7 linked regions of the Ovis aries genome follow. The protein of the gene in region 1 interacts with the protein of each later gene in a pairwise test. Links are inferred from orthologs where the notes say so. Each region holds a gene or a part of one and is shown in the gene's direction. Other genes may lie near its edges. The genes, in order: EMD, ABT1, TRIM42, MEOX2, TRAF3IP3, FATE1 and KASH5.

Evidence for each region.
Region 2: the proteins of EMD (region 1) and ABT1 interact in binary tests that used the Homo sapiens proteins (3 or more experiments, as listed by UniProt). The two-hybrid records come from large-scale screens. The link is inferred for Ovis aries from reciprocal best matches to the Homo sapiens genes EMD and ABT1.
Region 3: the proteins of EMD (region 1) and TRIM42 interact in binary tests that used the Homo sapiens proteins (3 or more experiments, as listed by UniProt). The two-hybrid records come from large-scale screens. The link is inferred for Ovis aries from reciprocal best matches to the Homo sapiens genes EMD and TRIM42.
Region 4: the proteins of EMD (region 1) and MEOX2 interact in binary tests that used the Homo sapiens proteins (3 or more experiments, as listed by UniProt). The two-hybrid records come from large-scale screens. The link is inferred for Ovis aries from reciprocal best matches to the Homo sapiens genes EMD and MEOX2.
Region 5: the proteins of EMD (region 1) and TRAF3IP3 interact in binary tests that used the Homo sapiens proteins (3 or more experiments, as listed by UniProt). The two-hybrid records come from large-scale screens. The link is inferred for Ovis aries from reciprocal best matches to the Homo sapiens genes EMD and TRAF3IP3.
Region 6: the proteins of EMD (region 1) and FATE1 interact in binary tests that used the Homo sapiens proteins (3 or more experiments, as listed by UniProt). The two-hybrid records come from large-scale screens. The link is inferred for Ovis aries from reciprocal best matches to the Homo sapiens genes EMD and FATE1.
Region 7: the proteins of EMD (region 1) and KASH5 interact in binary tests that used the Homo sapiens proteins (3 or more experiments, as listed by UniProt). The two-hybrid records come from large-scale screens. The link is inferred for Ovis aries from reciprocal best matches to the Homo sapiens genes EMD and KASH5.

The regions. Positions count from the first base shown.
Region 1 is NC_056080.1:80,070,509-80,074,788, reverse strand, and holds EMD (emerin), read left to right. Parts: upstream 1-1,480; 5' UTR 1,481-1,604; coding exon 1,605-1,686; intron 1,687-1,784; coding exon 1,785-1,892; intron 1,893-2,059; coding exon 2,060-2,137; intron 2,138-2,326; coding exon 2,327-2,460; intron 2,461-2,931; coding exon 2,932-2,978; intron 2,979-3,060; coding exon 3,061-3,397; 3' UTR 3,398-3,800; downstream 3,801-4,280. UniProt on the Homo sapiens protein: Stabilizes and promotes the formation of a nuclear actin cortical network. Stimulates actin polymerization in vitro by binding and stabilizing the pointed end of growing filaments. Inhibits beta-catenin activity by preventing its accumulation in the nucleus.
Region 2 is NC_056073.1:30,516,891-30,520,390, reverse strand, and holds part of ABT1 (activator of basal transcription 1), read left to right. Parts: coding exon 1-213; intron 214-880; coding exon 881-1,086; intron 1,087-1,241; coding exon 1,242-1,622; 3' UTR 1,623-3,500.
Region 3 is NC_056054.1:248,855,709-248,859,208, reverse strand, and holds part of TRIM42 (tripartite motif-containing protein 42), read left to right. Parts: intron 1-984; coding exon 985-1,808; intron 1,809-3,500.
Region 4 is NC_056057.1:24,985,256-24,988,811, reverse strand, and holds the end of MEOX2 (homeobox protein MOX-2), read left to right. Parts: intron 1-1,658; coding exon 1,659-1,883; 3' UTR 1,884-3,056; downstream 3,057-3,556. UniProt on the Homo sapiens protein: Mesodermal transcription factor that plays a key role in somitogenesis and somitogenesis and limb muscle differentiation. Required during limb development for normal appendicular muscle formation and for the normal regulation of myogenic genes.
Region 5 is NC_056065.1:72,984,267-72,987,533, reverse strand, and holds part of TRAF3IP3 (TRAF3-interacting JNK-activating modulator), read left to right. Parts: intron 1-305; coding exon 306-555; intron 556-1,396; coding exon 1,397-1,459; intron 1,460-1,769; exon of another isoform or gene 1,770-2,953; coding exon 2,954-3,013; exon of another isoform or gene 3,014-3,267. UniProt on the Homo sapiens protein: Adapter protein that plays essential roles in both innate and adaptive immunity. Plays a crucial role in the regulation of thymocyte development.
Region 6 is NC_056080.1:84,015,895-84,020,042, reverse strand, and holds the start of FATE1 (fetal and adult testis-expressed transcript protein), read left to right. Parts: upstream 1-1,348; 5' UTR 1,349-1,407; coding exon 1,408-1,516; intron 1,517-2,462; coding exon 2,463-2,578; intron 2,579-4,148. UniProt on the Homo sapiens protein: Involved in the regulation of endoplasmic reticulum (ER)-mitochondria coupling. Negatively regulates the ER-mitochondria distance and Ca(2+) transfer from ER to mitochondria possibly implicating it in the regulation of apoptosis.
Region 7 is NC_056067.1:55,605,061-55,608,560, forward strand, and holds part of KASH5 (protein KASH5), read left to right. Parts: intron 1-1,320; coding exon 1,321-1,398; intron 1,399-1,664; coding exon 1,665-1,721; intron 1,722-2,191; coding exon 2,192-2,251; intron 2,252-2,993; coding exon 2,994-3,058; intron 3,059-3,224; coding exon 3,225-3,312; intron 3,313-3,500. UniProt on the Homo sapiens protein: As a component of the LINC (LInker of Nucleoskeleton and Cytoskeleton) complex, involved in the connection between the nuclear lamina and the cytoskeleton.

The DNA.
Region 1 (4,280 bases):
AGAGCCCAAATGCCATCTCCCTCCCTGCTCAGAGATAAGCAGCAAGACCCTTGCCCTGCCTGGGGGCGCTGCCCCTCATCCGACCATGCATGCGTGGGGCCCTCATATTTTGGGAGATGGAGAAAGCCTCATTTCTAAAACCTGGCCAACAGCAACCTTGAGGAGGGGCTTCGTATGTGGTTAAACCAGGGCCCTATCTTCTCTCCACCCCATGAAGGAACTTTTGCTGAGACCGAGGCTGTGACCCTCACCAACTGGGCCAGTCTGCCAGCCTTCATCTCAGTTCCGGGAGAGGCACTTAAGTTTCCCCTCATTCCATTGGCTGGCTTTGTTAGAATGTCACTGTCATCTTCTTCCTAATTTTCATGGGACAGCTCTTCCTGACCAAGGCTCTCACCAACTCCCTGTGACAGGCCCTGGCTGCCTTCCATGGTTTGCCCCCCTCAGTCCCCTGGCCCCCCTGTCTGGGAGGCTCCCTCTGCACTCCCACGACCCTGAAGCCCACTGAGACCCAGGTGCTCAGAGTGCATTATCGGAAGCCTGGGGCAGGTCCCTCTGGCAGCCTCCTGGGTCACGCTGGGCTCAGGGGCCATCCCAGCCACGGTGGGGAAGCCCCTCGCGCCTCTGGTGCACTGCCGGTGGGTGAGGCAGACACCCGCCATCTCGGCATCACAGGGCGCCCCATGCCAGTGCCCATTGGCATGCCCGGGCCCCTTCCAAGGCTGCTGGCTCCTGGAGGGCCGGTGGCCTCCTGGCCCAGTGCCCCATTTCCTCTGGGGTGCAAGGGGAGGGAGGGAGGCGGTGGGAACCGGCGGGCGCAGGCCAGGATCCTGCAGAGCGGGAAGGCGTGCTGGGGCAGGGGGTCTGGGGCTCTGGGGGGCGGTTTATGGTCAGGTGGCTACAGGCTTCCTTGGTGTGGCGCGCGCGCGCACTGCGCGTGCAGCAGCGCCTAGTCTGGACCCGTGCTCTCCAAGGGCTTGCCCCTTCGGATCAGGCCCCTTCTCGCAGCCGCCGGCGACGCGCCCGCCTGGGGCGCGGCCAGGGACCCGCAATTGCTGGAGCAGAGGGGCAGTTGAGACCGAGCGGACTCCACGTGACTCAGGGAGGGCGAGCCCCGCCCAGCGCGCAGCCCCGCCCAGCTCCCGCATCCTGCCCAGTTTCTGCCGGTTGCATGGCCACAGGCCCCGCCCCTCCACCCTTCTGACCCAAATAGCCGAGCGGGTGACGTCGCGGCTCGCGGGCCCCGCCCCGCTCCCAAGCCGGGGCGGGTCTAAGCTAGTTCCCGTCGCGCCCAGGCCCCGCCCCCTCGCTGGGGTCCAGCCCTAAATGCGCCAGCGTGTGACGTCTCTGGGCTCGGGAGCCCCGCCCCTCCCCGCCCATTCGCGAGGCTCCACCAATCTGCGCTGGCAGCTCTCTGCGAGGCCCGGCCCCGCTCCGCACAGCGCGCGCTGCCCGCGGAGACCGAGACTGTGACGCGGGCGTGACGCGCGCGTAGCCGCTCCCGAGGCACTCCTGTTTCCCCTGCCGCGCTCCGAGGCCATCGTCTCTCGGCCGGTGTTGCAAGGCCCAGGCCTCCCCCAGGCCTCCGCCGCCCGCTGCCCGCCATGGACGACTACGCAGTCCTCTCGGACTCCGAGCTGGCCGCCGTGCTGCGCCAGTACAACATCCCACACGGGCCCGTCGTCGGTACGCGGTGGACGGAGGGCGGGCCCGCTCCCCGCGCTTAGCCCCGCGGCCCCCTCTCGGCCCGCTCCCTGACCGCCCTGTGCCCCGCGTCTGATCAGGTTCCACTCGCAAGCTCTACGAAAAGAAAATCTTCGAGTATGAGACCCAGAGGCGGAGGCTCTCGCCCCCGAGCTCGTCCGCATCCTCTTTCTCCTATCGGTTCTCGGGTGAGGCTCCCGTCCCAGGGCCCCGCCTGGCCGCCCTTGGGGACACGGTTTGGGGGACGCTGAGGAAGGGGTCGCGGGGGTGTGGCCAGGGCACTGGCTGGAAGGGGCGCGGGGGAAACGGGAGGGGACCCCTGTGGGCCAATGGTCCTAGCCCCTCCCCCATTCAGACTTAGATTCGGCGTCCGTGGACTCGGATATGTATGATCTGCCCAAGAAAGAGGACGCCTTACTTTACCAGAGCAAGGGTAAGGCAGGGGTGGGGTGGGCACTCTGACACCTTCCTTCCAGTGTCAGCCAGAACCTGAGACCTCAACCCCATGCGTCCTGCAGTAGCCCTGCAGCACCCCCCCCCCCAATGGGATTCAGATTAGGGCCATCGGGCCAGGTGGGGACACCGTTGCCCCTTCTGCTACCGCTGCCCCCCCCTTCCTAAGGCTATAATGATGACTACTATGAGGAGAGTTACTTGACCACCAGGACTTACGGGGAGCCTGAGTCTATGGGCACATCCAAGGGCTTCCGCCAGCCCTCAGCTTCACTCTCAGATGCTGACCCCTTTCACCGCCAGGTGAGCTGAGTTGTCGGGCACCCTGTACTTGGGTACAACCTGAGGGGGTCCTCATGGGGTTTGGATGAGTCAAGGGAACCACTGGGCACAAATGGTGGCTCAGAAACCTCCAGGGAGAGGTGGGGCCTGCAGACACCTGCCTGGTCAAGACCTTTGGGGTGGGGGAAGGGGCTGTCAGAACTGTTTTGACTAGTGTGCCCAGGACGTGCCCTGGCTCTGGTCTGGGATCTAGGTTTGAGCTCTTTTTGAGAATTCTGGGGCAGAAAGTAGGATGCAGGCAGCCGGGACAAGTGGCACGGCCCTGCAGACATAAGGCTGAGGACCAAGAAGGGGGTCTGGAGGGTGGCAGGGCCCAGGCCTTTAATCAGTGTTCAGAACAGGCTGGGAAGGGCAGTTTGGACTGAGGGTATGACCTGTCATACCTACACCGACCCTGTCAATAGGTATTCTCATTCTGATTCACTTCTGTAGGTCCGTGATGACAATCTTTTCTCTTTGGAAGAGGAAGGCAAGGATCGGTGAGTATTAAGGCGAGCCAGGGGCTGGGGCTGATTCAGGACTCAAGCCCTCCTGGTCTACCTACTGCACTCTTTGCCTCAGGGAACGCCTCCTGTATGGCCGGGACAGTGCCTACCAGAACATTGCACACTACCGCCCTATTTCCAACATCTCCAGAAGCTCCCTGGGCCTGTCCTATTATCCCACATCCTCCTCCACCTCGAGTGTGTCCTCATCTTCATCTTCGGCCCCTTCGTGGCTCACCCGCAGAGCCATCCGGCCTGAAAAGCAGGCCCCTGGGGCTGCCGGCCTGAGCCAGGATCGCCAGGTCCCGCTCTGGGGCCAGGTGCTGCTGTTCCTGGTCTTTGCTGCCTTCCTGCTCTTTGTTTACTACTCCATGCAGGCCGAGGATGGCAACCCTTTCTGGGCAGAGCCCTAAGGGTCTGACCTCGTACCTTGGAGGCCGGCTCCTCTTGGAAGCCCTGGCTGACTGCCTTATCAGTGTTTGTTGGGGGAGGGGGGTTGGGGCTTTTCTGTGTGTTCTAGCTTGGGGTTACCAGGACATGGGCAATGTTTGCTGACCCCTGCCCTGTCCTGCCAGGGAGGCAGCAGGCCTGGGCCCTCTGCGGCATGGTGGACCTGGGTGGGCCTGCCTCTGGATCCTCCTGGCCCTGCTTGCCTGTCACCCTTCGGGCCTAGGAGGGCAAGACCCTTCTCCTGGAGAGGAGAACATGGTTTTGGTCATCGCATGCCTCCTATTTGTCGTCACCTCATGGGGGGATTAACCAAAGGCCACCCTGAGTTTGTTTTCGTGGACACAATAAAAGACCATTTATTTTTAATGTGTGGGTTCTTTTCTTTAACATGGGGAGGGGTTGGGCTGCCCCCCTGCTAAAGGCTTCCAGGCCTTGGGTCTCCAGAATTGCCATCCAACTTTGTCAGTTCATCCTTTCGTCCTTTGAGCCTGAGATAGGGATCATAGGCAACCCATAAACTCATTTATGTTTTGCTTTTGGTGCCCGCTCCCTGACATGTTACCAGAAGCTCTTGTAAGTGCTTATAAAAAATAGTCACACAGAGAGCCCACTGGGAAACGCAGGTGAGGCTGCTTGCACCGTGTCAGTTCTGGGTGTTTCAACTGGGACCAGCAGACACCAACTGTGGTGTCCAAGGGCAGAGTGATGGGAAGGAAATGAGGCATCTGCTTGATGGGCTGCTGGAAGGCTGGTTGTCTAATGACAGGGGAAGGCTCTCAGTCCTCTGGAATGTTTCATCTCCTTTTAGTAAACCAGTTCCTCACCTGGGTATTACCACAAGGTTTT
Region 2 (3,500 bases), on another chromosome or scaffold:
CCGCGGAGCCGGGGCCTCTGGAAGGGAGTGACCAGAAACTGGAGGCAGAGGAGGAACAGGAGGAATCTGAAGAGGCGGCTGGTGGCAGCAAGAAACGGGTAGTGCCGGGCATTGTGTACCTGGGCCACATCCCGCCCCGCTTTAGGCCTTTACACGTACGGAACCTTCTCAGCGCCTACGGGGAGGTCGGGCGTGTTTTTTTCCAGGCTGAGGGTAAGTGCTCAGGCCTTGATGGTGAGGGAAGAGGGGTGGTACTCGTTGGCACTGAATACACAGTGCGTGTTTTGTTGCCTCAGCTGAGCTTGGAGGCGCTGACGGAGCCGGGGACCTGTGTCTGTTTTCTTTGGTAAGTAGGTGACGCGCACGTTTCTTAGAAGGCTGAAACGGAGTGTGGGTAGCTTTGTATATCTAGCTGAGCCTAAATTCTTCGCTAATTTTTGGATTCTAATCTCGGCTCCTCCCACCCTACTTTCTTGAGGCGAATTTACAAGTTTGTTAAATGAGTACTGCCTGAATTAAAATCTCAGTGACTTTTCCACAAAACTGAACGTATCTCTGTCATGTCGAGGCCCAGGTCCAGAGACAGTATATAATAGGCCCCGCCCAACTCCCATTCAGTCAGTCACTAATTGGGGTTGGGGGCCTGTGCAGGTTTTGAATAGAACGATTAGGGCAGATGTAATGATAAAAGAATTAACATTTGAGGAAAAGGTTGAGTTTAGTTGAGGGGTAAAGTGTGGACTATGCAGTTAGCCACCTCTGGGTAAAGACAAGGTGGGATCCTGGCCTGCAGGGAGGTCTGGAGAATTGGTGAGTGGGAGGTGCTGTTGAGTGGATGCTGTATGGGCCTCTTTGACCACTACTTTGTCTTGAACTCCAGACGGGTTCGTGAGGCGCAAGAAGAAGGCAGCAGCTGCCTCCACCGCCGGAGGGAAAAAGCGGTCCAAGTACAGCAAGGACTACACGGAGGGCTGGGTGGAGTTCCGGGACAAGCGAGTAGCCAAGCGTGTGGCGGCCAGTCTTCACAACACACCCATGGGCTCTCGCAGGCGCAGCCCCTTCCGTTATGACCTGTGGAACCTCAAGGTGAGGAGATTGGCTTGTCTGCCGCACCATGCACCGTCTCGCCTTCGTGGCCACAGCCCAGGCACCCCTGTCATCTTTTTGGCGCCCATCCCTTCCATCAACTCCCCATCTCTGATCTGCCCTACTCAGATCTTTTCTTGTTTTCCTGTCCACAGTACCTGCACCGTTTTACCTGGTCTCACCTCAGCGAGCATCTTGCTTTTGAGCGCCAGGTGCGCAGGCAGCGTCTGAGGGCTGAGGTTGCCCAGGCCAAGCGTGAGACTGACTTCTATCTTCGAAGTGTGGAGCGCGGACAGCGTTTTCTTGCGGCTGATGGGGACTCTACCCGCCCGAATGGTTCCTGGGCCTTTGCCCAGCGTCCTACTGAGCAGGAGCTAAGGGCCCGGAAGGCAGCTCGGCCAGGGGGACGTGAACGAGCTCGCCTGGCTAACGCTCAGGACCAGGCCCGCTCCAACCGAGGGCTTCTTGCCAAGATCTTTGGAGCCCCTACACCCTCAGAGAACAGGGGGGACTCCTCACCGGTCAGGAACTCTTGAGGGTCAGAGAGGCCCCTTCCACCTCCTAGCCCAGCCCAGCGTCCCTTCTACCTTATAATGACTACCCAGGCGGACATTCTATTGTGTTTCTCAAACCAGGAGTCTGGTGAGTTCCTCAAAAGTTTTGTAACAAGGCCTCTCGTCTTCCTCCTCCCAGCTCCTGTACATGCCTGGCTGAGGCACTTAGTTCTTACTAGCATAATTATGCTAGTCTGCTCATGTCTGTTTTACCTTGTTCAGTTCTTGGCTTCCTGCCTTCTGCGCCCTGGGACCCTTTAAAAGTCCTTCTTTCTGGCCCTAGGAACGGCCTTTACCTTGAATTAGAGTGATAATGGCTAGTCCAGACAGCTGTTTACCAACCACATTATTGGGCAGCAGCAACATCCTTTTTATTTAGAAAAGATTAATAGGGACAGGGGTTAATGGGCTAGAGTGGCTTGGGAGTCACCTTCAAAATATATTTATAGAATAGAAAAAGATATATGTAAATATATATTTTTAAACATGCCTTTGTAGTTTATGGCGTGGGGGGGTGGAGATGGTCATTGGATAAGTTCCAACTTCTGTGTGTTGGACAGAATTCACCCACCTTTGATCCGTCTCCTGGACACAGGATACCTCCCTCTGTTTTAACCTGGATAGTTTTCCATCTAATCAGTTTCTTAGGCCATGCTGTTAACACTTATTTAATTCAACATTTACTAAGTCACTATATGAGGACACATGGCCCTTGGTGTAAGTCTTATAGACTGCTAAAAAAGACAGATGTTTAAGAAATAAATGTATAGAAGTACTATGGGCATCATGCCAGATGTATATAAGAGGTAGAGTGAAGCCATGGGAAGGCCTGATTGATTCTATCCGGGAAAGTAAGTAACATCCTAAGAAGTGAACCAAAGTCTGAAAGAGCCTGATATACTCCTGTAATTGCAAACAAAACTCCATAGATGACGTGTTGGGTTCAGACCGTTGTAAAGGTGGGCAAAGCTTAGGAGGTAGTTGTGCACACATGATGTCCTTCTGGTGCATTTATACATTTTATCTACGCTTAGACAAGGGAATGTTCACAACATACAAAGCAGCTCTGAAGGTGATAGAATGCGTGTAAGCCACTGAGGGGAACTGAAAACTGAGATGTCAACAAAAAACTGAAAAAATCTACACACAGCCTCATAATAGAGTAAAACTCTGGCTTTTAAACTTACAGGAAGTGTTAGAGCAATAATAGTAAGTCATTTGAGTTTCGCTTGCACCCTTTATTGTCTTAAGTTCTTTTTGTTCTTTCTGCTTAACTGTCATCAATATAATTATCATTGTGTTCTTTGGGTCAAGTGGATTCACCTACTTTGGCTCTAAATAACCAAGTTTTGTTAAGATCTCAATTTGATAAGTGAAGTTTATTTGGGAGGAGAGAAATGAATTATGATCTGTTGGGTGTAACATTTTTCACAATCCTCAAAACTCAGCACACAAAAACATCTGTGTTCATTTCATGTGGGCCTATTCCATGTGGACTCTTCATGATGTCTTCCACGTGAATCATGAAGATCCAGTTTCAGACTCTGACAAGCTGTCATATTCATTTATTCAAAGTTCTGAGTATCTGTTGTCGTTTCTCATACATAGAGAATACCAAGATGAAGAAACTTAAGTTACTAACAGTAAAACACATGTAGGGCTTAATTTTTTGAATGAATGAACTTGTGTTTCCAGATTGATGTTATATATAGGATATTCAAAGTCACCGTTTCAGTCTCAAGTTTAAACAGTTCTGCATGTAGAGCTCACACCTATGGGTGGGTAAGTCACAAGTGGAGTGAAAAGATGAAAATAATGAGTGGAAGGAAATGAATTTCCCAGTAACTATAATTGTGATTC
Region 3 (3,500 bases), on another chromosome or scaffold:
GGAGAGGACCTTACCTCTAGAATAGGCCACAGAAGGCTGACCTGTATTCAAATTGTTGTCTAACGCCTAAAACCCTGTAAAGACAATGAAGTTGCCATTTCACAGACAGAGGTGGGCCACATGCTCACCCTGCCCTGGCATCCTCCCCACTGCAGTATCATTGGGTTTGTGCATTCCTAGAGCATCAGTGGCCTCTCATACTCATATCTGTATCCCTAGAGCTTAGAAAAGTATATGATGTGGAATAGGTGTCCCATAAATGGTTGTTGAATGGTTGAGAGGACTTAAAATCCAAATGCCATGTCAAGGCTGCAGGATGAACTTGGTTTTCCTTGACTTGTAACAGCAGACCCTTTCTGGAAAGGAAGTGGGAAGTGGGGTAGGCAAGACAGGGAGTCCAGCTGAACCCAAGGGAGTCAAAGCCCCCGGCAAAGGAAAAGGACATGTCAGAGAAGCCACAGTGAAGGGGAACTTTGCTGGTTTGCCACTATTGTCTAGGGCTGGGTTTTGGTGAACGAGACAAAGCAATATTTAGAAGTAGTCATCAGAAATTTATTTCTTCTCCCACCCCTGCAAAAGCTTAGGCTTTCACATAGGGAAAATCCATCACTTTGTGACATCACCTCTTCTCACGTCCAACTTGCTAACAGGTAAAGTTGAGTGAAAACTAATATCAAGGGTGGCCTTGAACTTCCACCTTTAGACCCAAGGCTGTAAGAATTATTAGATAGAAGTATGCCAGGGAAGGCTGGCTGTCATACCTAAAGGAAATATTAGACAAAGAGGAAGAGAAGGGTGTGTGGAGAGGGGCCAGAGTCACTTTACAAACCTATGCTAGCATCTTTAAGCCCAGCAACAAGTGGTTTTCCTCCCTTTCCACCCACTTCTTTGGAGCCCAAGTTAATATGCTCCAGTTTGCCACTGGCTTTGATATCTGGGGAACTGAAAATTTTAACTGAAGTAACTAACTTGATTGTTTTGCAGTCCGCTATGAAATTGATAATGACCTCATGGAATTCAATATTTTAAAAAACAGCTTTAAAGCTGACAAGGAGGTAAAGCGGAAAGAGATCAGAAATGGATTTCTCAAGCTGCGCAGCATTCTCCAGGAGAAAGAGAAAACCATCATGGAGCAGATAGAGAATCTGGAGGTGTCCAGGCAAAAGGAAATTGAAAAGTATGTGTACGTCACTACCATGAAGGTGAACGAAATGGATGGCCTGATTGCCTACTCCAAGGAGGCGCTCAAGGAGACAGGCCAAGTGGCATTCCTGCAGTCAGCCAAGATCCTGGTGGACCAGATCGAGGATGGCATCCAGAGCACTTATAGGCCCGACCCACAGCTCCGGCTACACTCCTTGAACTGCATGCCCTTGGACTTTGCTGAGCTCTCCAGTGCCATTCACGAGCTCTTCCCCACAGGACCCAAGAAGGTGTGTTCCTCTGGGGACTCCCTGCCGTCCTCCTACCCCCTGCAGTCAGAAATGATGATCGCCAGGAAGGTCACTTTCAGCACCCACAGCTTCAATAACCAGCAGATATACCAGCGAAGCTCCTCCTTATTGTCCTTCAATGCCCCTGCCTGTGAGAAAACCAAGATAGGTCTGGAAGCCTATGGGCGAGCCCAGTCAGCTGCACCTGCCAAGCCCACAGACGGCCTCTACACCTACTGGAGCACCGGGGTAGAAAACCAGCCTGTGCAGAATAGCAATAGCTTCCACAACTGGTACTCATTCAACGATAGCTCTGTGAAGACTCCAGGCCCAATTGTTATCTACCAGACTCTGGTGTATCCAAGAGCTGCCAAGGTAAGAAAGGCTCTGGGCCCTGTAGGAAAGATGGGAGGGTGTGAGCTATGGCATGGAGGTGGGTAGTCGGGAAAGTTTGCACTTAGTTCATTGACCACTAGGATCTGGTCACTCAGATCTGTTCCTCTGGACTCTGTGTGGTTGGCCCATTCAAAAGGGATAAGTTCCTGAAATCTTAAGAGCCCGAGATTGGCTTAAACCAAACATATATTTAACTCATAGCCAGAAATGCATCTGAAAGCCCCAATTCCACTTCAAAGGCAGCTTCTCTATTGAAAGAGACTGCAATTTTGGAACCAAAGTAATTTGAAGAGACTGCTTGAAGAGAATAATATTTCCCAAAGGAAAGCCTGTAACAGTAGAAAGAGAACAGAAATTGGAATTAGAAAAGCAGCCTCCGTGATCTATCAGCTGTGATTCCTCTAAATTGCTACTTTTTCTAAAGAAAATATCTAGACTCTTCATGATTTGGAAAGATTAGAAGGTAATCCCCAGTGGAATTCCAGTTCTTATCTCCTGAGATTCAGCTTTTAGTGAGGGGAGGGTATGTATCTCTCACAGACCTCTACAACTGCCATCACTCAGCGTCAAGGGATATGACTCTTCCTTGACCTTCTTGGCCTAACATGAACAGAACAAATAGCCCATCTCTTAACATTCCTTTCAAATCTAGCTGATTGAATCTAAATTGAATAGTTTATATAATGTTCTATTAGCATCCAGGAAGGAAAAAAATGTATTCTATGAGAGCATATCTTGCCTCCTCTTGGGACCACTAGAGGGACAATTCCCAAGCCAACCCATGACTTGCTTCCATGTAGCAGAATCCACCTTCTGTCCTCATGATCTGAGCACTCACAAAGACACTTAACGTCCTTGAAGCCTAAACTAGTGGTTCTCAAACCTTAACGTGCACCCGGGAATCTTGTTAAATACAGAGTCTGCTTCAGTGGGTCTCAGCGGGGCCTGAGATTCTGCACTTCTAACAGACTTCCAGATGTTGGCATTGCTGCCAATTAGCAGACCACACTTCAGTATCAAAGGATCTAGAAACAAGAAAATTAAAGGGAGACACTGACCAAGCCTTACCTTTTTATTCTCCTGAAACATCTTAATCTATGTTTTGGCATTTATAATTGACTCCAAGAATGACCTTATGTTGCAAGGTAGAACATACAGAACCTATCCTCCCATGGGCTGTCAGACACAGCAAATGTATCTCTGCCCTTCACATAGCAGGTACCCACAACTAAGCAGCTGAAGCTGCACTTCCAAGTGATGCTAGATCAGCAACACCTGCAATGTACGTGACACTGCATCAGGGACTGCATTAGTTCTCATCTCCATGCAACTCAGACCACTTGAGAGGTTGGCAAGATCTAGCTTCTGAATGGGAGAAGACAATGGCACCCCACTCCAGTACTCTTGCCTGGAAAATCCCATGGATGGAGGAGCCTGGTGGGCTGCAGTCCATGGGGTTACTAGGAGTCGGACATGACTGAGCGACTTCCCTTTCACTTTTCACTTTCATGCATCAGAGAAGGAAATGGCAACCCACTCCAGTGTTCTTGCCTGGAGAATCCCAGGAATGGTGGAGCCTGATGGGCTGCCGTCTATGGGGTCGCACGGAGTCGGACACGACTGAAGCGACTTAGTAGTAGTAGTAGTAGTAGCTCTGGATGGGAACGACTG
Region 4 (3,556 bases), on another chromosome or scaffold:
GGACCTTTGTTGGCAAAGTAATGTCTCTGCTTTTCAATATGCTATCTAGGTTGGTCTTAACTTTCCTTCCAAGGAGTAATCGTCTTTTAATTTCATGGCTGCAGTCACCATCTGCAGTGATTTTGGAACCCCCCAAAATAAAGTCTGACACTGTTTCTACTGTTTCCCCATCTATTTCCCATGAAGTCATGGGACCAGATGCCATATATTAGGTAACTTCAATTAAGATTTTAGAAGGAAAATATATCTCTACAAAGCTGATGTGATTAACATAATATACAAACTCAGTATTAGCATTTAACAAGTATTAGTGAAAATTTTGGACAGCAAGATCAAACCAGTCAATCCTAAAGGAATTCAACCCTGAATATTCATTGGAAGGCCTGATGCTGAAGCTGAAACTCCAATACTTTGGCCACCTGATGCGAAGAACTGACTCATTGAAAAAAGACCCTGATGCTGGACAAGATTGAGGGCAGGAGGAGAAGGGGACAACAGGATGAGATGGTTGGGGGGAATCATTGACTCAGTGGACATGAGTTTGAGCAAGCTCTGGGAGATGTTGAAGGACAGGGAAGCCTGGTGTGCTGCAGTCCATGTGGTCACAGAGTCAAACACAACTGAGCAATTAAACAACAGTACCAGGGAAAATTTTTGATCTTGTTTTGAGGAAATCAGAACCACATATTTGTAATGTAAAATCAAAGTATTAAGGGAGGAGCAAAAGCATAGTTCAAAAGAAGATGGACTCACTCTGAGGTGAAATGGCCAAATAAAGCTCTGTGAGTGAAGCAGTGGACCGCGGGGGCACAGAATGGCGTGCTAGACGGAGCTTCATCAGTGGCTCCCTGAGTATATTTTAGATTGGTCCAGGGACTGACAGCAGGGGGAGGGGGCAAAGTGGGTGTTGTTTGACCAAAACAATTACTGAATGGTCGTTCTAATGCACAGAAACTCTTCATAAACTAAACACCTTTGAACAGCCTAAAATGATACAGCACTTTCCCCATCTATTCTTTTACATGGTGTGTCATAAAATGGGCTTCCCAGGTGGGCTAGTGGTAAAGACCCTGCCTGCTAGTGCAGGAGATGTAAATGATGGGGTTTTGATCACACACTTCAGTACTCTTGCCTGGAGGATCCCATGGACAGAGGAGCTTGCAGGGCTCCGGTCCTGTGGGTCACACAGAGTTGGACACGACTGAAGCTGCTTTGTTGTTCTTCAGTCACTCAGTCGTGTCCCAATCTTTGCGACCCCATAGACTGCAGCTGGCCAGGCTTCCCTGTCCTTCACCATTTCCCGGAGCTTGCTCAAACTCACATCAATTGAATCAGTGAGGCCATCCAACCATCTTGTCTTCTATTGTTCCCTTCTCCTCCTGCCTTCAGTCTTTCCAAGCATCAGGGTCTTTTGAAGTGACTTAGCAGATGTCATAAAATACAAAATACAGGACTTGGTACCTTCTGAATGTTTTAAAATTATTATGAACATAGGCCTTGATTAAATTCAATGGTGACTTATTTTCATATTCATTACTTCACAGTGTATTTGTAAAAGCTTTTGAAAAGCCTTTTTTTTCCATTTATGACCGAAATGGAAGAAAACATTTTGTCCATTTCCCTTTCTTTCTTTCACTTGTTCCCTTTCTTTGTTAAAGGTGAAAGTGTGGTTCCAGAACAGGCGAATGAAGTGGAAGAGGGTAAAAGGAGGACAGCAAGGCGCTGCCGCTCGAGAAAAGGAACTGGTCAATGTGAAAAAGGGAACACTCCTCCCTTCAGAGCTCTCGGGAATCGGTGCAGCCACCCTCCAGCAAACAGGGGACTCGCTAGCAAACGAAGACAGCCACGATAGTGACCACAGCTCTGAGCATGCACACTTATGATACAGACAGAGGGGACCAGCTCCATTCTCAGGAAAGAAATGTGGTGATGGCAAGCCTTACTCGAACATCGTTTACACAGAGAAAGGACTATGACCTTGATTTTTAATATTATTAAGTTCAGGCATCCCGAGTCTGTTTTTCATGATTTATAGAGGGTTTACACTAAGTGCCACTTAAGAAGGATGCTTCCACAGAGAAGATGGAGGTGAATATTCCAGAGGTGTTGGTCGTGTGTATGACAGTGAGCAGCCTTTGTGTTTGCTTTTGCTTGCACTGAAAATTAAATTGCTATCAAGAGCAAACTATGAAGCATTTGTATTGAAGGTGCCTCCAGAGTGAAGATGCAGAAGATGAATTGGCTTTGAACATTGCAGATGTCCGAGGTCATGGGTGTGACAGTGGGCAGGTATTTGCTCTCGCTTGCACTGACAATTACATTACTATTCAAGAATAAACCATGAACCATTTTTATCTCAAACAGCCACAGTGCCTGAAATCATTCTTAAGTGGGTTAAAAAAATGTATTTTAACTCTGTATATATTACCCTTAAGTCATTTTCCTGTCTTCACTACGTTTAGCAATGCATTCATATTAGCTGATAAAAATAGCCACTCACGATGACAAACAGAACCAGCTTCTTGTATTTTTATACATTTTGTCATCCCAGAAACAATCAGCACATGCTTACTTGTGTTCAAGTAGAGAAAAATACATTAGAGTCTGATAGGGAATATTCTTGTACCACAGACAAAACAAATCTTATGTTGCATTTTCTATCAACTGCTGCTAATACATTATTATAAAACTTACCTAGCTCCTCAATTCTTCCTATCTATAGCTTGGAAAAAAAAATTTAGGATCATAGGCAAATCAGTTACTTGCAGAAAGAGCTTTTGTATGACAGACATTGTCTGATTTTATTTCTATAAAATGTTACCTGTTGTGAATATGATTTAATTAACAAGAAAAAGGGTTTTCCCCCGATTGGTGATAATAGACAACTTGCAAAACAAAATTGATTCCTCAAGTCTGTAGAAGGTAAAATTCTGAATGTCTTCAAATTAAGTTCAGTAAAAACACATTTTTTTCATATATGATGTATTCATGCCGAACAACAATTTTTGTATTTTGTAAAAAAAAAAAATGTTAAATAAATGATCCTTTGTAAATAATCTTGGTCTTCCTACTGTGATTTCCTGTGTTTACAAGCGTTAATGTAAATACTTAAGAAAATCCCCAATTCATGTGCACTTGTGTAAAAGCAGATGATCATAATTAGTGAATCATCTACATTTTTATTTCTGAAATTTTTTATTATGAAAAAATCCTTGTGTAATAAAAAAGCATCTGAGAATAAGCATATGGTAAGCCCATTTCCCTGAATTGAAGAGTATGCCAAATAGATTTGTGTTTTATGAAATAAAAGGAGAAAAGTAATATTATTCACCACAATGAGAGAAACCAGTCATATATTTTTAAGCTTATGTATAATGGACATGAATTCATCCAATGATTGTTTTTACACAAAAATACCCAGAGTTTTTCATGTGAAAATAAGCTCCATAACCTAATCCGAATTCTCAGCCCTAGAGGAAATTACCAATGTAAGAAGTCCAGGGCTATACTGACTTAATGTGCTTGGTATCATGCGGATTGTGCATACATTGGATAC
Region 5 (3,267 bases), on another chromosome or scaffold:
GTTCTCTTCCTCAAATCACCTACAAGGAAACTCTCACGAAGTCCGTTTCCTTTTCAGCCTTAATTCTTTGTGAAAAATGAGCCTACCCACTCCGCCTTGAAAAAATCGATAGCGTGAGAATGAGAAGTAAAGACAAAGTGAAGTTGTCTAGAAAAGCGATGATTCGGTATTCCTGAATGTGGGCATTTATCCAAAGGAATCCCTTGTGAATATCAAAAATCTCATCCCTTATTGGTTGTTAAGCATGAGGAATAGAGCACACTGAAGAATTTTAAAACTCTTCCTATTTTTTCCACTTCCCTCAGACTCCGTCTCTGTTACTCTACAATCTCCCCAGTTTTCTTCCTCCTTGGGATCTGCCCGCTGCCTCCACCCTAGCTAGCGCTGACCTGCCTGTCTGCCCCTCCTCCTCCCACCAGGGAGCAGACAGCAGAGACTCACAGATGAACCAGGCCCTACGACTTCTGGAGAGTGAGCACCAAGAGCTGCAGGCCAGGATTGAATGCCTGCAGGAGGACAGAGACCTGTGCAGCTCGGACACCCAGCACCTACAAGGTACCCATCCCCCTGGAGGCTTTGGAGGCCTCTGGGGGCCCAGAAGAAGGGGGCTTGGCTGGAAAAGGATCAGTCTTTCATTTGTTTGTTTGGTTGACTTGGTGATTTCATTTTACTCTGAGAAAAAGGCAGGGTTGTTTTAATCATCCAAGACCAAGACAGAAAAGATCCAGCCTATCCGTCTAAGCCAGAGCACAGTTACTCCCATAGCAGTCACGTGCCAAGACGGCATTCCTAATTTAAAGGGAAAGGTCAGCAAAAACACCAAGCATAGAAGTTTCCCAGTCAACGGCCCCTGTCAGCTGAGAGGGGACCAAATTACCCACACATGCTGCTGTGCTGTGCTGGGTTACTCATTCGTATCTGAGTCTTTTGCAACCCCATGGACTATGGCCCACCAGGCTCCTCTGTCCATGGGATTCTCCAGGCAAGAATACTGCAGCAGGGCAGAGGGGCTGGAAAAGAATACTGGAGCAGGTTGCTGTTTCCTACTCCGGTATTGTTCCGAACAATACTAGGAATGTTCCTGACCAGAGATCGAGTTGGCATCTCTTGTATCTCCTGCACTGACAGGCAGATTCTCTACCAATGGGCCACTTAGAAAACCCTATATACACAAACAACCCGTAACTCAGCCCACTGTCAATCCAGATGAAATCCACGGCAGCAGGGTTCTGGTTTACCTCTTCAGAACTGGGACAAGCAGAAGAAAGAGCAACTTCCACTTGACACTGGTCAGAGGCCATGGGCTAAACAGCATCTGTTACTAATTTCCAGCCTCAGGGGTGAGCTCTTTAGGTCTTAGGTTCTTCTATTTTGGTTTGTTTTGTTTGATTCTCAGATCAACTAAAGAGGTCAGAGGAGGAGAAACTCGCCCTGGTGACCAAAGTACAGCAGCTGCAGAGTAAGTCCCTTTCCAGATTCTCAAAGTAGCGCAGGTGGCTTTTTGGCATTCCTGGGGCTCCTGCCCCACAAAAGGCATCCAGAGAAGCGACGGGAAGCCCAGTCCTTGGCATATCCTCTACCTCTGCTTGTCCAGACCCTCTTCCTGGGCAGTGAGGTCACAGACAGTTCTTCCCAAGTTCCACATTAGCCTCTGGCATTTTTCGTTTGTTTCTACTTTTCTCCTCCTTGCCCACAACCACCACCTGCATTTCCCCCAGAATTGCAGATTTCAGAGTTTTCTAAGGTCCTTCTTATTTTATATATTCTAATTTATTATGTACATTTGTCACACAGACCTCTGCCACTGGGAATGGTTCAGAAAATAAGCTCAGTCTGCTTCCCAATTACATGTCGAGGCCAAAGAGGAAAAGGGGTGTTTCCAAAGAAAAGCTGGCAATTTCTGAAAAGCCAGAGAACCTGAAACAATGCACAGCTCTGCTGGTTGCCTCCCACCTTAACCTCTGACACCCCCGACAGAGAAGTTTCATGCAGAGAGCAATGAGTATAAGAAGAGCCAGGCAGCCTCAGGGGTCAGGGAGGGAGGACACCAGCAAAAGCTGGGCTCCCACACAGTCGGGGCTGAATGGGCAAGTCACTTCAAAATCATGCCTTTATTTATTCAGCGCTTATTTACTGAGCCCCTACCAAGTCCCAGGCACAGAGACACACTCTGAGGATACGGTAATGAACAGAACTGGCATGGTTTCCTCCCTAACGAAGCTTACATTCTAAACAAACACTACAGTGCGGTATGGAGTTTCTATGGACAAACAGGTGTCAGGTATTAACAACTGCTATAGAGGAAAACGCACAGCAGGTTAAAGAGAAACAGTTGCTATTTCACACAGGGTCAACTGGGAATGTCCTTCTTCTACGGTAACATTTACACAGAGATTTAAAGGTACATGGTAGGAAGAGATATAAGGAGGGTGTGTTCGTAACAAAGCACCACAAGCTGGGTGACTTAAAGAACAGACATTGGTTTTCTCATAGCTCCAGAGGCTGGAAGTCTCAGATCAAGGAAGCGGGCAGGGTTGGTTTCTTCTGAGGGCTCTGGGGGAAGGATCCATTCTAGACTGCTTTCCTTGGCTTGGAGAAGGAAATGGCCTTCTTCTCCATCCAAGAAGATGGAAATGGACACCTTCTCCATCTCTTCACGTCTTCCATCCATCCGCATCTGTGTCCAAATTTCCCCTTCTTGTAAGGACACTAGTCAATATTAAAATAGGACTCTAATGTCCTATTTTAACTTGATTAAAAGAACCTATCTCCAAATAGGGTCACATTCTGAAGTACTGGAAATCAGGGTTTCAACATAAGAATTTGGGGTGGGGGGGAGTGACACAATTCAACTACAGATGGGAACAGAATAATTAAGGTCTCAGCAAAGTTCTAAGAAGACACTCTGCAGTAAATGCGCTAGCACAGACAAGTTCCTTGTGTTTTCCAACAGGTCTGCTTCAGAATCAATCCTTACAGCTTCAAAAACAGCAGAAACTCTTAATAAAGAAAGGTCAGCAAACTTCTTTCCACAAATTCTAAGATATTGCTCTTTCCTTGCCCTCCTAGAGGCAGAGGGATGGACTATATGACCCTGTGTCGGGGACTCTTAGGTCAGGGAGCTAAAGGAGCACTTTAAGGACTGACTCCTCATTGGCTCTGAGAACACTTTAGCTAGTTAACCTCCTATCCTGAGAGGTATATAAACTATGGAAAGGATTTCTATTCCCTCTGAAAACATACATCTGTACTGAACATTTCAATAAA
Region 6 (4,148 bases), about 3.9 Mb from region 1:
TTCCTCCCTTCCTCTCCTCCCCCTCCCCCTGTCCTCCTCTCCCTCCCACCTGGCCCCAATTGTGCTTGGTTTCTTTACAAATAGCCTCCTCTTCCTCAGGAGCTCTGAGGCTATTCCCAAGAGCTGAGGGTTCACCTTCGGTGGCTGTATGAGTCAGAGTTCTCCAGAGAAATGGAACCAATAGGAGGTATGTATGTGTATGTATATGTATTGTTGCACTCACTCACTGAGTCATATCTGACTCTTTGCAACCCCATGGACTGTAGCCCACCAGGCTCCTCTGGCCATGGGATTTCCCAGACAAGAATACTGGAGTGGGTTGCCATTCCATTCTCCAAGGGATCTTCTCAACCCAGGGATCAAATCTGGGTTTCCTGAACTGGCAGGTGGATTTTTTTTTACCACTGACTCACTATGCATATATGTGTGTGTAAAGAAAATTTTATTTAAAGAATTTGGCTCATGCCATCATAGAGCTAGCAAGGCCAAAATTTGCAGGACAAGTCAGCAGGTTGGAATGTTAGGGAGGGGTTGAGGTGTAGTCTTGAGCAGAATTTCTTCTCTGGGAAACCTCAGTCTTTGTTCTTAAGGCCTACAGCTGATTGAATGAGGCCCATTCACAGTATCAAGGATACACAATGTCCTTTACTTAAAGTCCACTGATTATAGACATCAACAGCTACAAAAAGTGCCTTGATAGAAACATCTAGACCAGCACGTGATGGAATAACTGGAGACCTTAGGCTAGCCACATGGACCATAAACATGACCACTGAGGTCTATTCAGTAGGGAAGCTGAGGGAAAATTTGACTTAGAATAGGGGGTGCAGGGCTGGGGACACTGGAGGCTCCAGTAAGCAGGCCCCTCTTCTGCACATCTCTCCTTTGGTTTTCATGGTTCCTGTCCAGGATGATCCAGGGTGTCAAAAGTCATGTCCCTTGCCTGGGAATTCTGGATGGGGTAAGGCAGGATGTGCTCTGTAGAGGATGCTTTCTGAAGGGGGCTATGGCCTGGACTGTTAACCAAAGCTGGCCTTGCAGAAACCACGGTGGGATCTAAACCTGCTTTGGCCACTGACCAACTCTGGAGTCCTGTGCCAGCCCCTCCCTCTATCTAGAAATGAGGTCAAATCGGATGAGCTGAGAGCCAGGGCAGCTTTCCCAGGCAAAGATTCAGAGTCTATCGCTTCTCCTAAGTTGCTTACAGAGTAGCAGAGAAGAAGACCTTGAACCCAGCCAGCAAGATACAGCAGGAACAGGAGGTGCTGGGTCTAATGCTTGAACTCAAAGTGGGAGTCTGGCTCCACCCCTGTGTCCAGATATATCTTCCGCAGAGAGCTGATTTCCCAAGCCTCCTCCGAGCCTTGGACCCTGTGCCTTCTTGGCCATTGCTTACAATTGGTGGTGATGGCAGGAGGAGCAGTCCCTAACCTCAAGGAAAAGATGCAAGTGCCAAAGGATGAAGACCTGCTTCTTGGAAGCTTTAGGGATAACCAAGAGCGCTCAGTGGCAGCAGGTGAGGATCCCCCGTAATGTCCCTTCCCTTGGGTATCTACACCTGTGCATGCATGTTAGAAAATGCGCAGGTTTGGCTTGGCAGAAGCATGAATGTGTGTTTGCATGTATTTGTGGGTACCTGTGTGTGAGGTAATGGGATTGATAAAAGTGAGCCTTTTGTAGCGTGTGACGGGGAAGGTTGGATGAACACCCCTCCCATTGCAAGCCACCAGTGGATCTTAATGCAAAACACTCAGTGGGTTCAATTTATAAGATCATTCAAAGCAATTCTCTCTCCTAACCTTCCAGTACCTTCTTCTGCCCTTTAGAGTAAAGCTCCTTTCCATGATCTACAAGATCCACATAAGGTCACCTCCTCAATATACTTCCTGCTGTGGCATGCTGACTCAGTCCACAGTGCCTTTAAGCCTGTCCTGTAACATCCCAAGACTCTTTCTTCTTCACAGCCTTTTCACTATGTGTTCCCTCTTTCCTCAGATTTTCTATGGCTGGACTCTTTCTCTTTCAGGTCTCTGCCTCAGTGTTGTCTCTGACTTTTCTAGAAGTATCCCCTTCCTTCTGTCTTGTTATCCTGTTTTTATTGTTTTGGGAGCATGCATCTCTTGATTTGCACTGATGGATTATTTCCTATAACCCCCACTCTCGTTACCACTTTCTCTGTACACACACAAACAATCAATTTTTTATTGCTGTGATCTTATTTCTTGGCCATTGCTTGCTCTTTAAGAACCTAGCCCAGAGCTTGACACTCAGTAAACACTTACTATATTTTGAGTACATGAAGAAATTGAGACCTGAGATTAGCCAGTAGATGCCAGAGAATGGGTGTTGAGTGCTTCCTAAGATGTTGGGGGACCCTATCCTATTTTTTGGTGTGTTCTGTGCCCATGAAACCTTGGGATAGCCTCTATGGGTATTCCTTGGGCCTCTGTTCTTCTCCCTAGAAATGAAGGAGCATATATCTCGGTTGCTGGGTGCTTCTCAGCGGCGACAGAAGGTGGATCCAAAGGCTGTTGGCTCTGCTGCGGTTTGGAATATGGCTGCAAACCAGTCCAAGAAGGTGGTACTGTATGGCATTTGGTGGCTAGCTTGAGTTTGGGGGAGTTTGCTACAGTTGTAGCAGCTCTGGTATGGAGATGGTAGGTCAAGCAGGGCAGATGTTGACTTTGGGGGAAGGACAAAGCTCCTGTGTTCTGGGCAGGCAAATGAGGGCAACAAGGTCTGGCAAGAGATCATGGCCATTCTTTGTTAGTTCAACCTTGAGGGTCCAGAATGTCTGAAACACACATTGCTTGTGGAGTACATATCTACTTTCTTTTATTAATAAATTAGTAAATATATCTATATTTGAATCTCTATATGTATATATGTATATATCTATATGTTATGTCTACTCTCTATATATATTTCTATATAGAAATATGCAAAAGTATAAAAATCATTATATATATATATATATATATATATATATATATATATATATATAGTTGCTGTTTAGTCTCTAAGTTATGTCTGACTTTTTGAATCCCCATGGACTGCAGCATGCCAGGCTTCCCTCTCCTCCACTATCTCCCAGAATTTGCTCTAATAAATGTCAATTGAGTCAGTGATGCTATCTAACCATCTAATCCTCTGCTGCCCCCTTCTCCTTTTCCGTTTAATCTTTCCCAACATCAGGGTCTTTTCCAGTGAGTTGGCTCTTTGCATCAGATGGCCAAAGTACTGTAGCTTCAGCAACCATCCTTCCAATGAATATACAGGGTTGTATATATATCTCTAAGCATATATAAATATAGATATACATGTATCTATATCTATCTTAGGGCTGGGACTAGGGTAAGGCAAGTGAAATGCCTATGCTCTCTGGCTACTAGGAAATCCAGTCAATTGAATCTGAGCATTTTGTAGCCAATCCTTTAAGTTACATTCTATATGAGTGAGGGAATGTTCTAGAAAAAATGGTGGCTATACTGTTGCAAAAGATACTGAGAAAAGGCAGTCATTTTGGAGAAGAGAAAGTCCTGACTCTTCTTGGGAATCACATGAATCCCATCATCCTTCTGTAGCCAATTCTTTTAACTACATTCATCTTGGGTGACAGAAAATTTTAGAAACATAGTTGTTAAACCACTGCACGTTTACTGGGAAAGGGCAACACCTTTGGAGAGGAGGGAGACCTGAGTGTTCCAGGCAATCATGTGAGTCTCATGTTTTGTAGCCCATCTGATAAGTAAGCTACTTTTGCTGCAGATGCTGGCAATTTTAGAAACATGGTTGTTTTACTGTTGCAAAGGTTATAGGAGGTAGAGGGAAGGCAAATTGACTGGAGAGGCAGGAAGACCTGATGTTCTAGAAAATCAGCCGAGTTACATTTTGTTCCTCTGTAATGAATTTTTAAAATTATACTAACCATATGAGGGAATGTTGTAGAGAAAATGGTGGCCATGTTGTTGCATTCAGTTCAGTTCAGTTCAGTCGCTCAGTCGTGTCCGACTCTTTGTGACCCCATGAACCACAGCACGCCAGGCCTCCCTGTCCATCACCAACTCCTGAAGGTTACCCAAACTCATGTCCATTGAGTCAGTGATGCCATCCAACCATCCCATCCTCTATTGTCCCCTTCTCCTCCT
Region 7 (3,500 bases), on another chromosome or scaffold:
ATTGTGGTCCTTTCTAAAGGAAAAGTCTTCAGGTAGCAAATACAAATGCTGGAGCAGTTACAGGTGAAATAATAAGCCTGGGGTTTGCTTTAAAATAATCTGGTTAAGCAAAGCAAACTCTGTGCATAGAGAAGAAACAAACAGGAAGAATGTATGTAATTACTGAAACTGGGTGACAAATAATGGGGGTTCATGATTTTTTTTGGCTGAGTCGAGCAGCTTGTGGGATCTTAGTTCCCTAACCAGGGGCTGAACCCCAGGCCTTTGCAGTGAAAGTGCAGTCTTAACCACTGGACCACTGGGGAATTTCTGGGTTCACCACACCATTAGCTTTACTTTTGTGGGTTAAAAATTCGTAATACAAAGTGTTAGAAATATCTTTTTGATATAACACCAAATTTTGGTATATGCCAGGCATTGTTCTAAATGTGTTTGTATTCATTAACATATTAAACATGTATTTGCATGAATTCCCATCTATATACCCTGGGCAAAGTTGCTCAGTCTTTCTGTGAGTCAGTTATTTTTATCTTATTTTATCTATTTTGGCCACACCTCGCAGCTTGCAGGATCTCAGTTCCTGTACCAGGAACCCAAGCCACTGTAGTGGAAGCACCAAATCCTAACCACTAGACCACCAGGGAACTCCCATCTTTATCTTTAAAAGAGGGCACAGAAGTAAGTTAACACTGGCAAGGTGCCCCGTAAATGTTAGCAGTAATTATTAGTTCATTTAATCCTCACATGCATCCCATCATAGCTCCATTTTTGCAGCCGTTTTTATTTTTTCATCTGCAAATCAGAGCTGAGATCCTATAGGATTGTTGGAGGGATTAAGTGGGCTGAAACATCAGGAAGTGCTGAGCACGGGGAATAGGGGGACGGATAGAGGAAGAGATAGTTAGGGAGTTTGGGATGGATATGTACACACTGCTATATTTAAAATGGATAACCAACAAGGATCTACTGTATAGCACATGGGACCCTGCTCAATGTTATGTGGCAGCCTGGATGGGAGTGGAGTTTGGGAGAGAATGGATGCATGTATATGGCTGTTCACCTTCACTGTTCACCTGAAACTGTCCCAGTGTTGTTAATTGGCTATACAATTAAATACAAAACAAAATAAAAAGTGAAAAAAAAAAGTCTTAGAAAGGCTGCCATTGAAGGATAATTAAAGCCGCATCTGAAAGGCTCAGGAAAAAGAGAAAGGGTGCCCAGCATGAGGCCTGATGCACATCAGGTGCTCAGCACATGTCTTCTCTGAGTATTAACATGGCCATTTGCTGACGTGATCGTGACCAGGGTCCCTTCTTCCAGAATGGGAAGCTCCTGGCCGAGCGGGATGGAGTGAAGAGGAGGAGTGAGGAGCTGGCCTCGGAGAAGGACATCTTGAAGGTGGCACCCCTCCCTAGTGCCTTGACGATTTCCTACCTCCCTGAGGCCCGTTTTTAGCCTCATCAGTTTCAGCCCCTTTGGTCTGGTGAGATCAGGGGTTTGACTCAAGCTCTGAGGTCCCCAGGGCCAGTGGGCAACTCACTGAAGTCCCCCTCGGGGTAGCTGACGTCCAGAGATGTGAAGGGAGGTTGAGGAGAGGAGCTATAGAGAGCGGGATAGGCCGGGGAGGGCAGGCCAGACAGATGGACGGGCTCCTTCTTTGGCAGCGGCAGCTCTACGAGTGTGAACACCTCATTTGCCAGCGAGACGCCATCCTCTCCGAGGTGAGTGGGCTGGAGGGAAATGTGCCTTCGATGTGTCTCCTGCCCCAAGTCTACAAAGGAAAATCCTCCTTGGCTCTAGGGCCTCCCAGGTGGCACTAGTGGTAAAGATCCCGCCTGCCGATACAGGAGACGTAAGAGACGCGGGTTCAGTCCCTGGGTTGGGAAGATCCTGTAGAGGAGCACATGGTAGCCCACTCCAGTATTCTTGCCTGGAGAATCCCATGGACAGAGGAGCCTGGCGGGCTACGGTCCACATGACTGAAGTGACTTAGCCATGCACGCATACTAGACTCTAATCCTTGGAGACTCAGCCCAGAGAGGTCAGAGGGTTTCCAGGGAAGCTGATGCTCTCTTCAGGTCTTGCTCTGCCCCCAGCCCATCACACCCATCCGACCCCCCTTCCCCTGCGACCAGACCTCAGAGTTTTTGGTGGGTTGAGCCCGGCCTCAATCAGCTTTGGGCTTTCCCAGCGCACTCGCCACGCGGAGAGCCTGACCAAGACCTTGGAGGAGTACAGAGCCACAACCCAGGTAACCCCCTGGCCCGGCCACAGGCCCTGCTTCTGTTTTGCCATCTCTGGGGTGTGTCCTGCCTCCTCCTATGTCTGATGATCTTTTTCCGAGTCTCCACCTCTTGTTTCTACCATCACTGCTGCTTGACTGTGTGCGTCTCTCCCCCTCCCTCTCTCTCTGCGTTTTCACTTTTCCTCTGTCCTTCCTCTCTCTGTATCTCCATCTCCCACCCACTTTGATTCTCTGTGGGTGATTTCTCACAGTGTCTGCCCTGCCCCTGTTTCTGTGTCCCTGCCTGGCTGGTTTCAGTCTCTGCCGCTCTCTGGGTCAGTTCTCTGTCTCCTGGGGTTACTCCTCTCTCTGTCCCTTGTCTTCACAGTCTCTTGCTCCCCATCTGTGTGTGATAGGGCTGTTCAGTTCAGTCGCTCAGTCACGTCTGACTCTTTGCGACCCCACGAATCGCAGCACGCCAGGCCTCCCTGTCCCCTATGTGTGTCTCTCATTTTCCCATATGTTTCCATCTCTGCTTTCCTTTTCTTAGTTTTCCTGACCGATAGGTTACATTCTGGGTTCCTGTTGCTCTTTACCTCTCGTTGGCTTCTTAAGTTTCTGCTACTGTTTCTTCCCCTTCTCTCCTTGTCTGTATGTGTATGGAGGATCCCAAAGAAGTCAAAGGAGTGGACCTGGCCTTGGAAGAGGAGCCCAGACATGGGGCTGGGGAAAAGGCAGAGCCAGGGGTCCCTCAATCCTTCCTTTGCAGGAACTGAGGCTGGAAATCTCCCACCTGGAGGAGCAGCTGAGTCAGACCCAGGAGGGGCTGGATGAGTGAGTAGAACGACGGGGGAGGAGGAAGCAGGAGGGGAGCCCAAGGACAGGGAGCCCCCACCGTGGCGTCCAGCCCCAAGGTGGGCAGGGCAGTAGCCTCAGCATAGGCTGGCTGACAGGTGGTTGGGCATGGAGGCAGCCTTCCCCCTCCTGACTGTGTGGCCAGGTTATCCGAAGGGGCCCAGGTGAGGAGAGCGGACTGCACCAACCTGCTGCCGCCGTCGCTGGGTGTGGAGATCCAGGCCATTCAGCAGGTGGGCCTGACACCCCCAGAACACCCTAAGCCACCGCCAGCGGCAACTCTGACCCCGCCCTGACTCTCACCCCACTCCAGTCCTCCCAGGACCACCTCGGTTCTTAACCTCATCCCTGTCCCAGTCCTTGGTCCAGGCACCAAACCCTTCCCGGTGCTGCCCCACGGACCCCCAGGCACCCTCATATC